Medicago truncatula: one gene and its partner. The protein of the gene in region 1 binds, or shares a complex with, the protein of each later gene. Links are inferred from orthologs where the notes say so. Each region holds a gene or a part of one and is shown on either strand. Other genes may lie near its edges. The genes, in order: NAD(P)H-quinone oxidoreductase subunit S, chloroplastic; NAD(P)H-quinone oxidoreductase subunit N, chloroplastic.

Region 1 (5,967 bases):
TGGAAGATATTAACGGAGGGGGGTAATTGACAGACGCTTGACAATTTCAAGGGAGTATTTGAAGTTTTGCAAAATTCAGGAGAATTTTTGACGAAAGTTACAATTCCAGGGGGTAATTGACTATTTAATCATATTAAAATTATTGTTTAATCCAATATCATGATCCAACTGATTAACGTTGAATATGTTTATTTCTTTTTTTTTTTTTTTTGGTCAAGAGAATATGTTTATTTCTAATAAGTGAATCATTAAATTTCGTCTAAGGTTTAATCCTAAAATATATTTTTTCAATAATTTAATCCTGAAATCATCAATCTTATATAAAATTAAACAATAACAATATCGATAATCATTCAAAATTATCATATCATTACAATATTTGACTTTATTGCAATAACTTTGAAAGTAGCACATAAACTGATTTTGTTCTTAACAGAAACCGTAAGTTGTTAATACTCCATCCATTCTTTACATGAACATGTACCAAAATTAAAGAGTATTAAGAAAGGTTCAGCACAATGAAATACTCTTTTAGCACCAACGTCACATCAAAGGTGTCCAGTGTCCGACACTAACATATGTAGTTACATTTAATTACTTTTATTTTTCAAATTATTATTACTACTTTAACATGTCTGTGTCAACGTAGTGTCTACTACATGTGTGCTTCATATCTTTTTACCTTAAACTTTTTTTACTTCTAAATAAAAGATCAAAGCAGCAAATGAAATACACAACTAAGATTCAATTGTCAGAAACATGTAGTATGATACAAAAGTGAACATGTTTTGTTACACAATAACAACAAAGAGCTGAAAACTATGATTTCTTTACAAGAAATGGTTCAAGAACGCAAGACTTAGGATTCTTCATAGGAGGACCTTTTTCTCTTCTCTCAAGTTCCTCAAGCCTAAAGGTGATCAACTTATCCCAATTCCCTCCTTCAAACAGTACTCCTGCTTTACCATCAGTGATTCTTTGAACAATACCACAGTACATGTAAAAAGGATTATTTTGATTCTTCACAATAGCAATCATTCCTGGAAGTAACATAGGAAGTTCCGGTGGTTTTGGCTTCTCCGATGAAGAAAGTTTAAGGCTTTTGTTTCCTTTAACAGTTTTAGGAAGAGGGTTCTCTTCAATGAATTTTTTCAAACCTTTTTCACCTCCAGGAAATCCTCCGGTTAACCCCATTAACTCTTTATCAAACCCGTCTTCTGCAACACTTTCAAAGGATTTTGTTGAGTTACTTGTTGAGTCTTCTTGTTCTTTGTCACTTGCTTCTGATGATGTTGGCTGATTCTGATCATCAAGACCAACTTCTCTTTTAAGCTCTTTTTGAAGACCTTCTTCTCCTTTGCAGAGACCTCTGCCTCCCATGATCTGCAGCAAGTCGAATTTGGCACATGTTTGTACTGTTTTGAAGGTCGGTTTGCTGTGAAAGATGGAAGCTTTATTGCTGTGAGGATAAAGATGAGTGAGGTTCTCTTGGCCTAAGAATTTGGATCTAAGAAGAGAGCCATGAAGGCTATGAAGAGCAACAAAGGAAGACATTTTTAATTAACTGTTCAGAAAATTGGCTGAAAACAACATTAGAGAGAGGAGAAAGAGGGATGGATAGCATAGTTTCAGAATCTAATCCTGGCCACAAAATTATTGGATAGGCCTATCTTTTTATGAAATGAAAAACTATCAGAAAATCTTCTTCCAATTTAATCTTGACCACAAAGTATATTCTTTGGACCAAATTTGCCTATATGAGGAAAGAATTTTTTTGCAACATAACCTTATGATTAAATTCATTTTAGCATCAAATTAAAGTAATCCAAACACACAATTTATCATGAGAAATTATAGCAGTGAAAAGCCAAGGCAACATATTTTCAAGCCTAATGAAAAGTATGACATAATTCCCATGATAATGACACATGATGGAAAGAGTGTGTTACAATGATGACCCACTATTTCCATTCTTGGTATTTTCAAGAATTTACATAGATTTATTTTACAGCAATCTAAATGCAGTAACAACTATTGAGAGCACATGTCATTTTTAATGGTGAACAACGATACTCAAATAAACAAGGAAGCCTTATACGACAAGTTTGTTTCTGCCTCACTGTTGAGCTTCAGTTGTAAGCGTTAATTTAACACCGTCTTTAAATGAAACAGGATTAATATTTAGAGTTTGAACCAATCTAGTGATATCCATAGATATGTCAGCCGGGGACTTCACACCTCGGTCAACCTGGAAAAACAATAACGAAAACTCAAAAATGTCGCAATAAAGAACAATCAAAGACGAGCAGATAAATCATATCATGTTACCAAACTGATCAAATTGACATCAAAAGATAAATGAAAAGCTTTGAATTCCACATCACAAAATTTTAGTTATAAATGAAGCATAACACATACCGTTGAAGCAGAGACTGCTTTGATTAATGAGGTATCATACCCTCTGAATTGTGCAACAGCGTCAGCCATTTCAACGCGCGATACCCTATCAGGTCCACCGGCATTAAGTAACAACTGCATTTGCTTTCCCTCTGTGACAAGAATCAGAAATCAAATCATGAAAGCGAATTTGAGACCCCTCAAGTTTAAAGAACACATGAAAGTGAAAATGTCGTACATAATTGTAAAAGAGTTATAAGATATAAACAATTTTCATAGATAAGGATTGACCATCTCCAATAAAAGTGTTTTGAAACCTTAAAAAAGATCTAACTGAAAATCAGTTTCATTAAGAATCTCTTTTTGCAGCGTACCACATGTTTAAACAATATACACGAGTTATTTACAAAAAGTTCTGTACCTGATAACCACTGGCTTGTTAAAGCTAGTATGATAGTTACGAGATCCTTAACGAAAATTGGACAACGGAACTCGTCGTGAAAGAAATTCACCTTTTCTCTTTTAGAAAGGGCACTGTCAATCCACTGCAATAATAAGAGATTTTCTCAGTTATTTTTTTTATTGCAGACGGAAAAATGGTGAGCCAAACACTACCACCGTCTTTTAAGAATTCATCATGCAATAAGTAACAGAATTTGCAAGCATCATTCACATTTCAAGTTTCATCGATCCTAATGCTGGAAGCATTAGTTTTCAAATAAAGTATAATTCTATATACTGCACATGCACCTGAATAGGAAGAGATTTTGGAACTGGTGAGACAGTTTGTGGCCCATAGATGATACTGCTTCTCAAAATCGCAAAGTTTGGGAAGTTTTCTGAAATGAACTTCTCTGCTGCCACTTTAGTTTTTCCATAAACATTTACTGGAATAGGAATGTCTTCTTCCTTGTAAAAGGACTTCTCACCTTCGTAAACTAATGAGAAGAAACATAAATTGCAGTTTAGCTATCAAAGTGAAAATGAGCATGGTTATAGATAGCAATGCAATGTATTGATTGCGATTAGATTGGTTTACCTTGATCTGTGGAGAGATGAATGAGAAGAGTACTGTTCTGTTTAAAGCTTTGCAACCATTTTACGAGGGATGACGGCACATTAATAGCATTTGCAGTATCAGGATCATTTTCACAAGCACGAGGCACCGAGATGGCAGCACAATTGACAACCACATCAGGCTGCCATTAACAAACAAACAGAGAATTGTCAATCCAATATTAAAAGCTTAAACTCTTATTTGTAAGCAACTGGCATCTATCCAACTTATAGATGTTTGAAAATTTGTTACATAAAAGACCAAACCAAACATGCTTTATCTCTTTATTTCTGCGAGATACATGCGTTTGCGTAGCACACAAATCCATTTTCATACTGGTATAGCAAGAATAATGAGTGACTATCAAATTGAGAGGTAAAGGAGATAACAGCCTTTTTCTTATATAAACACGAACTCTGAAACTTCAAAAGCATGTAGCGTTAGATTTATATTTTTTTAATGGGTTTGTCTAACATGTGCAACATTGCACATGTTAAAGAAACTAAAAGTAGCAACTTTTTATTGAAAAACCACAAGTATTTATTAAAAAGTTATATATTTAATATAAAATGTTCAAGTTCCAATACAAACTTACTACTTTAAATTTCTTAACATGTGCAAGTTTGCAGATGATAGAAAAACCCTTTTTTAATTAAATTCAACTTCAAGTATGAATGAAAGTAAGGGCTGCTAATGGAGGAAGTGCATGTTTAGGGTGAATGGAAGATAAAATGTGTTCATTTTTAACTAGCAAATAAGAAGACATGTTCACTTTAACTTACTAATAAGAAGATGAGAAACTTTTGATTTTGAAGTTAGTCAATGTAATGAAGAGATGATATAAAAAAAAATAAAAAAAAGTAGCTAGGGTGATATGCATTTTTGGAAGTAAGAATACATGTTCAAACATTCTCCTTTCTCTTTATTAACAAGTGAAACAAAAACAACCAAGCCCGTCTAGCTCAGTTGGTAGAGCGCAAGGCTCTTAACCTTGTGGTCGTGGGTTCGAGCCCCACGGTGGGCGAATTTTGTTTTTTTGTTAAAAAAAAAGTAAAACTAACACAAATTTATGAAAAATAAAAAATATTTTTAAAAAGTAAACTGCATTGATTTTCCAACTTGTAAAAGTACTTTTGGTAAATTTAGACTAAATTGTTATCTCAAACATAGCATATACGACTTCAATTCAATCTTACATACACTAACATGTTTGGATAAACAGTTTAAGTAGGTGCTTATAGTATAATCTCTTATCACAAAAGTGATTTTGTATAAAATATTTATATAAAAAAGAAATATATTTTCATATAAGCTATAAGCTGTTTTCATAAGTTATCCTGGTTCAAGCTTATGAAAATAAGTTGAAAACAACTTCTGCACATATCATAAACTGGTAGATAAACTAAACAAACTAATCCGTATAAATCAGTAAGTCATATTACAATTTGCAATGAATCAGATCAAGCCCATTAATAAAAATCATGTTTTGTCACGACCCAATTGAATTGTAAGTTAGAAAAGTGAGAAAAGAACCTGGCCAAAAGCATTGGAAATGGCATCAAATCCAATGCCAGATTTCAAATCGACTTGGAAAGATTGAGAATCAGGAAATGCATCCAACAAAGGTTGAAGAAGAGGAGAAGAGTGATAGGTGAATGCCACTGTCAGAGATTGATTAGAATAATAAGATTGTAATAGATGCTGACCCAAGTAACCTGTGCCTCCCACAATCAATATCTTCTTCTTACTCATCACTTCTCTTCTTGTTTCTTTTTTGTTTACTTTTGATTGCTTTCACGTTGTAGTAATTGTAATGGTCAATGTTTTGTGTCTGAATTCTTTTATTATTTTTTTTTACATTTTCGTAGGATTAGGCCTATGTTTGTGGGTACATTTTCTTTTTAATCGTGTTTTTAGTCTCTACAAAATCATGAGTTTTCAAATTTAATGTTTATAAAATTTTAATGGTGATTTTAATTCTTTAAAATATTATAGTTTTTTTTTTTTGTGGTGGTCGGAGTTCGATTCCCGAACCTTACATATATAATGCATTGTTCATATCAATTCAGTTAAGTTCACGTGAACTTCAAAATATTATAGTTTGTAAGAATAGTTTTTATTTTGAAAATATTTTATATTTTTAGTTCTTTAAAATAGTCCCTATAAATAAAAATAGAAATTAAAATGAATAATTTTTTGTAATAACTCAATTTGAAAGCTTGTAATTTTGTAAGAATTAAAAACATAAATTGAACAAAGGTTTTTTTTTTTTAACAAGTCAAGAGAGAATTAAATATAACCAAACCAAATAGTAGCTTCCAAGCATAAGGTGTGTCTAGAACCTCCTAAAGTACAACAAGGAATGTTAACAACTACACGAGAACACCATCGGTGTTAGCCAATGCTCAAACAAGCTAAACAACTTGACCACCATCTCTGGCCAAATACAAACATGACATTTTTGGCTTTCAGCCATCCCAAAGATAACAATTTAACTTTATCTAACATACAAG
Region 2 (7,821 bases), on another chromosome or scaffold:
GCCCTAAAAGTCAGTCTTTTTGTTTGGCGTCTGCTGTGTAATTTGGTACCAACATAAGGCAATTCAATTAAAAGACAAATTTTACAACCAAATGCTCAGTTATGTGTGGGGGTGGATATGAGATACTGAAAGATGCAGAGCACTTATTCCTCTCTTGTGATTTCTTTTGTAAACTTTGGTACAATATATCTAATTGGCTTAGTTTCCACATAGTGTATCCTGAACATGTGTCAGATCATTTAAATCAATTTGGCACCTTAGGAGACGAGTTTTTCCAAAGTATTCGCTCAACTTTTAACCTCATATGACCATTTTGTGTGTGAGTGATTTGGATTGAAAGAAATGCTCGGGTCTTTCATCAATAAGAGACCTCGCCTCATCAATTACTCGACAAAATTAAGCTTTAATCATACTGGTGGCTGAAAGAGAACCGTCCTAGCTTTGCTTTCTCTTACCATTTGTCGTGGTTGAATCATTTACCATGTTTAGTTATCTATCTGTAATGAGGTGGCTTTGTTCTTTGGTCCTTTTGTATTTGTTACTCGTTGTGTAGTAATTGTTAAAACAAAAACAAAAACTCTTATTTTCAGAATAAAATTTATATTAAATGATTCTTTAATCGGTGTTCTTAGGACACTAGTAAGCAGAACCTTTACTTTATAGGATAGAATACTACTTGATTGACAATACTGATTAATATTCCAGTTTTACAGCGTGCTTGATTCAGCTTGAATGTTGAAATTAAATATTGGATGAAGGTGCACAATGCATGCAACTGGCATTAGAAAATCACCCTTAATCTTTGTTTTTGTCACGACAGAGGTTGGAACTTTTTTTGAAAGGGACGGAGTTGGAACTTGAAGCTGCAACGTTCTACTTTGTTGACATTCGTGATGTTTTGTTTTTGCTTTTTTCTCTCAAATTAAATCATGTCTATATATTTGTCGCAGAAAGTTTTTCAAAATATAGTTGCAGAGATTGACCAAGCTCCATATAATTACTTGACTGCGGTAGAAGCATGGCCGTTTTATAAAATTTGGTGGTTTAGAGCGAATATACGGTTTGAGTCATAAATTATGAGTATATAAAAATAATTAAATTTTCAAAGTATAAAAATAATTTGTTTTGAAGATGATAGTTTTTACCACGTTAAGAAATGACCTTACAAAAATTCAAAATTCATAAAAAAAATTGAGTTTTTTATTTAATATTCAAATGCTTATACAAAACATTTCATACGGGGAAATATACTTACTTGGGCACAAGTCAAAATAAATATATTTGGGCATGCACACAAAACCATAAAAAAATATAAGAGAATAAAATTGAATAATGTCAATATTGTTAAAGTAATTTCGTACTTATTTTTTGGGGCATAGGACGGTCACCCTACTCACTCTACCTCAGATACGGCCTGGGCGGAGGACAACATTCCTTTGGTGAATAATCAGGTTTGATTTGCTTAAACTAATTTTTTTTTTTTTTTTTTTGCGGTTGTTACTAAACCATGTTCCGACTAAGGATAACTTGGTAAGGCGGAAGATTTTTCCTCAAAATGATCAATATTGTTCAGCAGGCTGCGGTTTAATAGAAGACATGGATCGCCTATTTGTTAAGTGTGATTTATATGGAAGAATTTGGTTTCTTATTTCAAGTTGACTAGGCTTCTCAACGTCATCTCATGAGAATTTATTGGATCAGTGTTACTGTAGTTTGTTAGGTTCGGAGCTATTCGAAAATTGTTAGCTTGACACTTAGTGTTATTTATACTTCTATGGTTTGGATCATTTGGAAAGAGCGAAATATGTGTATTTTCCAGCACATGGTGGAACATTTACAATAATTAAGTGAACAATTTAAGCTTCAATCATTCTAGTGTTTAAAATCAAAATATGTTGCTTTTAATTTTGACAACCATCTTTGGAGGCTGAATCTTATTCTTTGTTTAGTTGTTGTAATTTACTCGTTTCTTCTCTTTTGTTGCTTTGGTTTGATTTGTAATATCACTTTGTTTTTTTATAAATCTTTTCGGTACATTTTGTGCTAAAATGTCTTATCTTAGTTGGTAATATATTTCATTTGAACCTTTAAAAAAAGAAGTTAAAGTATTACCATCAATTAAATAAATAAGGGTCTTGTTAACGAGTGCTCCCGGGACACTCTTTAAGGATTTTAAGAGAATAAATTATTTCATAAAAAGTCAAATATTTTGATTTTCGATGCATTGATTACATAAATTTTCAAAAAAAGTTACCATATAAAAGTCTCAAAGAATGTCTCGGAAGCACTCGTTAACATTTCCCAATAAATAAATAAATAAATAATTAGAGCGTATTATTAATAAAGCAATAGTTAAAGTTGCATTGACCTTTAAACAAGATAAATAAATAAGAACAAAATTTCCAAAAATGGTACTTAAAAAGAAATAGACGGATTATGATTAAGAATTAAATAGATTTTTTTTTTGAAGAAGATAAAATGGAATATAAAATCAAAAGCATGGAAAATCAGCATAAGAAGTGCCAAAAATCAACCGAATAGATTAATTGAAAGCATCCATTGCTTAAATGCTCAAGAGGGTGAAAACATATTCTTTGTGATGGTTGAAGACTCATAAACACAATTTTGGTTTTGATCTTTATGATTGTCGGACGAATCCTTCGTATGTTTAGGATTTATCACCTTGTGTTGTCGTTATAGGCTCTTTATCTTCTTCCTTTTCTATTTCGGTTTTTTGTGACACTGTTGTGAGCCATTTTTAAGCACATCTTAGGTTTAACTTCCTTCTCTTTTTGTTTTTTATTATATATATTGATTCTCTTTTAGCTTCTTAAAAAAAAATTGATAGATTAAATTTGTATTTTAATACATCGTTGTTTTCTATGTTTCATTCCACTAAAAATAATATTGTTTAAGACATATCAGACACTAAATATTAATACATCTTTTAATCGGGATTCATTCAAATTTTGGCACACAATGATGTGATAATAATATAACTCTTTTGCTAAACTCAACTTGTTGAATTGTGATCTCCATAATTCAAACATATGAAGATGTTTATATGAATATTATCAACATTACTAGTTTTTTTTGACAAGATCAAGATTACTAGTTGAAATAGGTTTTACATATGTAAAATATTGTCTTTTTTATTGCTACTTGCGGTGGGTTTATTTTAAGGCTCCACATACGTTGTTACGAGTACCATTTTAGGTTTTTAAAATGGTCTTCTTCTTGAGGCAATACTTAGACCTTAGTTCGAATATACTAGAATATTATCAGTGTAACTGAACTCACTTAAAAACTAAACCAGTTCCTCGAAAAGTTCGAGATGCAAGTACAATTGAACATATCGTTCACTTTTTGACCTATTATTAGTATATTACGTAGTAATTTTTAATGGTTGATGTTCGTGAAATGGATTGGACATGTTCCCCTGGTTTTTCATGTAATTAAATTATAAAGTTCTATAAAACCTCTAAATAAACATTACTATAAAGTGCTAGAGTCTGTTAAGATTTATTATTCTATTATTAGTTGAAAGTTGATGTCATTACTGATGCAGGACCACTTCTTCATGTTTATCCGTCAGTTACGTTAGTAAAAAAATTTATCAGAATCTTAGGAGTGTTATTTAAACAATTAATTTGGTTGATAATTTGTGGGACAACATAATTTACAAAGAAATAGTAGGAAGTTGCACAAAAATCAAAGTAATAAAAAGATAAAGTAAAAGATAATAGAAATATAAGAGGGAAAGTTGTCACATGTTCAAATATCATTTTTATTCTATTATTGGTTGAAGGTTGATGTCTAGGACCACTTTTTTGGATGATTTGAATCACTTCTCCTTCACCGTCACCATTCAGAACCATAATCAATTTTTTTGTCTAATTTAAAATACGCAGTGCCGCACGTGGTAAATCAGCAAAATCATTTTATTTAGGAGAGCGAAATTTTAGACTTGGCACCGTTTAACACATATAGTTGCAGTTTACTACAACAATGAAAATTTTGGTTTGTTTATGATCAATGTTGGTGTTACGTTATTTGATTTAAAGGAAAAATTGAGTGATTATTTCAACGATGTTGCTATAAGAAGTTTGGTTAGTGTTGAGTATCATCCTCCGTTAATTGATTTAGATGAACACGTTCGATTCACTAAGATGAAACTTTAAAACGACGATGATGTGAAAACTGTTCCCTATATTTGATCAATATAGTTCCAAGGAACCAATCGAGATAGACGCTTCCTTATTGAGATCTATCAATATTTTCGGGTAAGTTTTATTGGTCTCAGGATATTTCAAGAAATTGTAGCGTGCATGGTTGAACCTAATTAAGAAACTAGCTTGCCTTGTCCATGATCTTGTTTGTGTTTAACCGATGTTTTTAATTTTTGTTGTTGTTGTTGTTATTGTTATTGTTGATGATGATGGTGATGAATTACATTGTTGAATTTTATTTAATGGAGTGTTAGTCATGTTTTTTCATGGTTTCATTATGCATATGGATTATGAAAACACATTTTGGATTCTAAAATTCAAATGGAGGTATTTTTGAAAAAAAGAAAGAAGAAAGGTGCCCAAAAAGTATGGGGAAAAAAAAATCACAACAAATTGGCATGTAATAAGGATGCATTCACTTCCTTAAAAAAAAATAAAAATAAATAATGCACTTGATATAAGAAATTATAAAAACTTAAATTATCCTATAATTTTAGTTCTTACTATTTAGGTTGAAATATCTATTCATAACGTCAACTTATAATAGTAAGGATCAATTACTAAACGTCAAATTAGAATAGTCAAACAAATAATTTTACATATGTAATAGTGGTAAATTTAGTAGTATAAATACCACACTTTGATTCATGTAAACGTGCATCATTTTTGAGAAATCAAAACATATCATCCTACTTCCTTCTCTCTTGATTTTCTTAATCTGATAAATCCTAGTACTATATATTATTTGAAGTATTATAAATTAAAGTAGTACTTAATATCATTTTATTAGTTCACTAATATCATAAAATAAGTATTTAAATATCTAAATCTTTAACAACACTCACTTTTTTTATACTAAAGGTGAAAACAAATAATAAGAGTGAATAAGTGAATAGTTTCACTACATGATGATATGCCACTATCTCTAATTGAAGGTTACAAGTGAAGACAAGACTTTATCTCATTTCTCCACCATACAACTAATATCATTCATCCTCAGTCTTAATTTCCAATTTCTAACCAATGTTTCTTTATCTTTCAACTTACGAAGAAATAAAAAAAAAAATGTACATTATTCAACAATAAATTTCTTCATTAGCACCAAAGAAAGAAACAAAACAAAAATGTTAGCCTCTGCAAGCTTAGGTTGTGGAGGACCAACATGCTCTAACATTCAGCAACCACCAAGGAACAGCTTCATGGCTGAAAATCATAACAACAGTGTAAGATTGATGATGGGTTGGAGAGGAAAACAATGTAACAGTAACAGAAGTAAAAGGGTAGTGAAATGCAGTAGTGGAATAGGATTAGGTGACTTCATTGGAGGAGATTTGGTTAAATTTGATATTGGACGTTGGCTTTCAGATGTTGAAGAACATAAAGCACTTGCAATATATACTCCTCATGAAGGAGGGTATGAAGGACGTTACTTATCGCGTCTTCAACGTCAAGGTTACTATTTTCTTGATCTTACAGCTCGTGGTCTTGGTGATCCTGAAACCACTCTCACCAAAGTTCACCCTGTTTGCCCTGTAAGTACATACCTTGTGTCTCTTTTCTTATTAATTTTATGAACGAACGAAATTGACCTAGGGAAAACATATTTGAGGACTAAATTGACTACCTAAAAATAGATTCGAGTATCAAAATGAATGATAAAAGATACTCTTGTGGGCATGCTTGCAATTTCGATACATTTAGAAACTATATAGTGATATATATAGCGCCTCACACATATTCAAGAACCAAAATAGTTGTTTGCTCCTTTAAAATACTTTTTCGGCTTTTAATGATTAATAGCTATTATTACCAATGTAGTACATACCAACACTTAAGATTGAAAGTGTGTCTGGCATGTGTCACTGTATGACATCAATAGTACAACGATACATGTGGTGTGGTTACATTCTATAACTTTCATTTTCTCAAACTGTTATTAGTTTCTACGTGTAAGTGTCAATGTCGTGTCTAATGAATGTTTCTGTCTTAGTGCTTCATAGATTATTACTCAAGTTTACACTACATGGAATTTTTTCATGAATCCCAGGCTCATTTAGGAAAGCAACCAATAGCAAGGTGGTATTTCCCACCAGAAGTTGATTACAGATTGGAAGCATTACCACCAAATGCCAAAGGACTGGTGGTGTGGATCATTGAAGCTAAGGTGTGGATTATGCTTTACTTTTATTACATTAAAATACCCCTCACATACTTAAAACAGAATGATTATTGCTTTTATGTTTTCTCATATTGAAATTTATTATAAGTACACCATCTCAAAATGCTTTTAGATGAAGTAGGGTGAATTATTTGTATTATTATTATATCTCTAGGACAATGCACAAACCCACCTATTTTTTTTGAATGGCTGCTGTACTAAAATGTTGCTTCGGATGTTGCTTAGGTTCTCTCCAAGGCTGAACTACAATTCCTTGCTCTGCTGCCAACACTAAGGCCTAATGTGAGGGTCATTGCTGAATGTGGAAATTGGTAGGATGCCAAATTTTCTAATAACCTTTTTGTAGATTTTACAGTTTTTATTCTTCTTTGCTTATTTCTTTTGATATTTATCAGTGCTCTCTGTTGCAAAACTTGTGCTTGAGGACTCCAATTTACTTCAGTTTAAATTTCCACCTTTATATGCAAGGTCTAGTTTGGATTAACATCTAGCAATAAGAGCTTCTCCACAATGAAATCTCATTCTAATGTTTGTTTATGTGAATGATCAGGAGAAAGTTTATGTGGAAGCCGCTAAACGAAATTGCTGGACTAACCACTAGTCAGGAAGCTTGATAGATGATGATGCATTTGATTTTCCAAGCATCAACAACCAAGTAGGAATATTTTCATCTGTCTTCAAGCTTGAACTTCCAACTCAAGGCACTTTGCAGATAAGAAAATACACCAAAAGATATATAACGATGAATGAATATCATTGTAAATAATTAGATTTACCACAACCATGAGTGATATGTACATTCTCAAGGTTTAATTTTGTCATGGCACAAACATTTTCATCAAAGATGATATTTCAAGAAATTATATAGATTTGCAATGTGACATTTCTAGATGTGAAAAAAACACTGGTTTGAATGAACTAAATGGAAGTTTTGCAGTAATTTGACCAACTATAAAACCAAACGTCCTTCGTTCTTTTTGTCTTCATATGAATATGAATTAATTTGCCCTCACATCACAATAGATTAATTATGTTTTGGTCCCTGTGAGCTTAGCTCGGCTGGTAGGGACATCGCATAATTGATTGCGCTTGTGCCGAGGTGCTAAAACTTTGCACGGGTAGAATCCCAGTCCTGATATGCAAACTAGTAACCAAAACTTTCATTCCGAGTAAACCATCAAAACGGCTCCTGATTCTGTAAGGTAGTGACAAGTTAGTCCCTAAAATTATTAATATTTTAAAAAAAAAAACCCGGCTTTGCTAATTGAACTCTTACTTTTATAACTTACCTTCATATTTAAATTGGTCTTCTACATTTAGTCCATTACTACAATAATTTCAATCTATCGAATTACGTTCGAAAAAGACTAATCTGCAAGACAATTTGCAAGGTCGAGGACATATTTGAATTAT

The links.
Region 2: NAD(P)H-quinone oxidoreductase subunit S, chloroplastic (region 1) and NAD(P)H-quinone oxidoreductase subunit N, chloroplastic share a complex: the UniProt entries of both Arabidopsis thaliana proteins name them as parts of the chloroplast NDH complex. The link is inferred for Medicago truncatula from reciprocal best matches to the Arabidopsis thaliana genes NdhS and NdhN.

The regions. Positions count from the first base shown.
Region 1 is NC_053049.1:12,186,339-12,192,305, forward strand, and holds NAD(P)H-quinone oxidoreductase subunit S, chloroplastic, read right to left. Parts: upstream 1,802-5,967; 5' UTR 1,555-1,801; coding exon 820-1,554; 3' UTR 726-819; downstream 1-725. Other genes in the region: methionine adenosyltransferase 2 subunit beta, read right to left, coding at 2,117-2,248, 2,419-2,549, 2,819-2,942, 3,148-3,335, 3,437-3,596, 4,988-5,206. UniProt on the Arabidopsis thaliana protein: NDH shuttles electrons from NAD(P)H:plastoquinone, via FMN and iron-sulfur (Fe-S) centers, to quinones in the photosynthetic chain and possibly in a chloroplast respiratory chain.
Region 2 is NC_053044.1:31,880,670-31,888,490, forward strand, and holds NAD(P)H-quinone oxidoreductase subunit N, chloroplastic, read left to right. Parts: upstream 1-5,215; 5' UTR 5,216-5,353; coding exon 5,354-5,761; intron 5,762-6,276; coding exon 6,277-6,393; intron 6,394-6,633; coding exon 6,634-6,719; intron 6,720-6,958; coding exon 6,959-7,022; 3' UTR 7,023-7,310; downstream 7,311-7,821. UniProt on the Arabidopsis thaliana protein: NDH shuttles electrons from NAD(P)H:plastoquinone, via FMN and iron-sulfur (Fe-S) centers, to quinones in the photosynthetic chain and possibly in a chloroplast respiratory chain.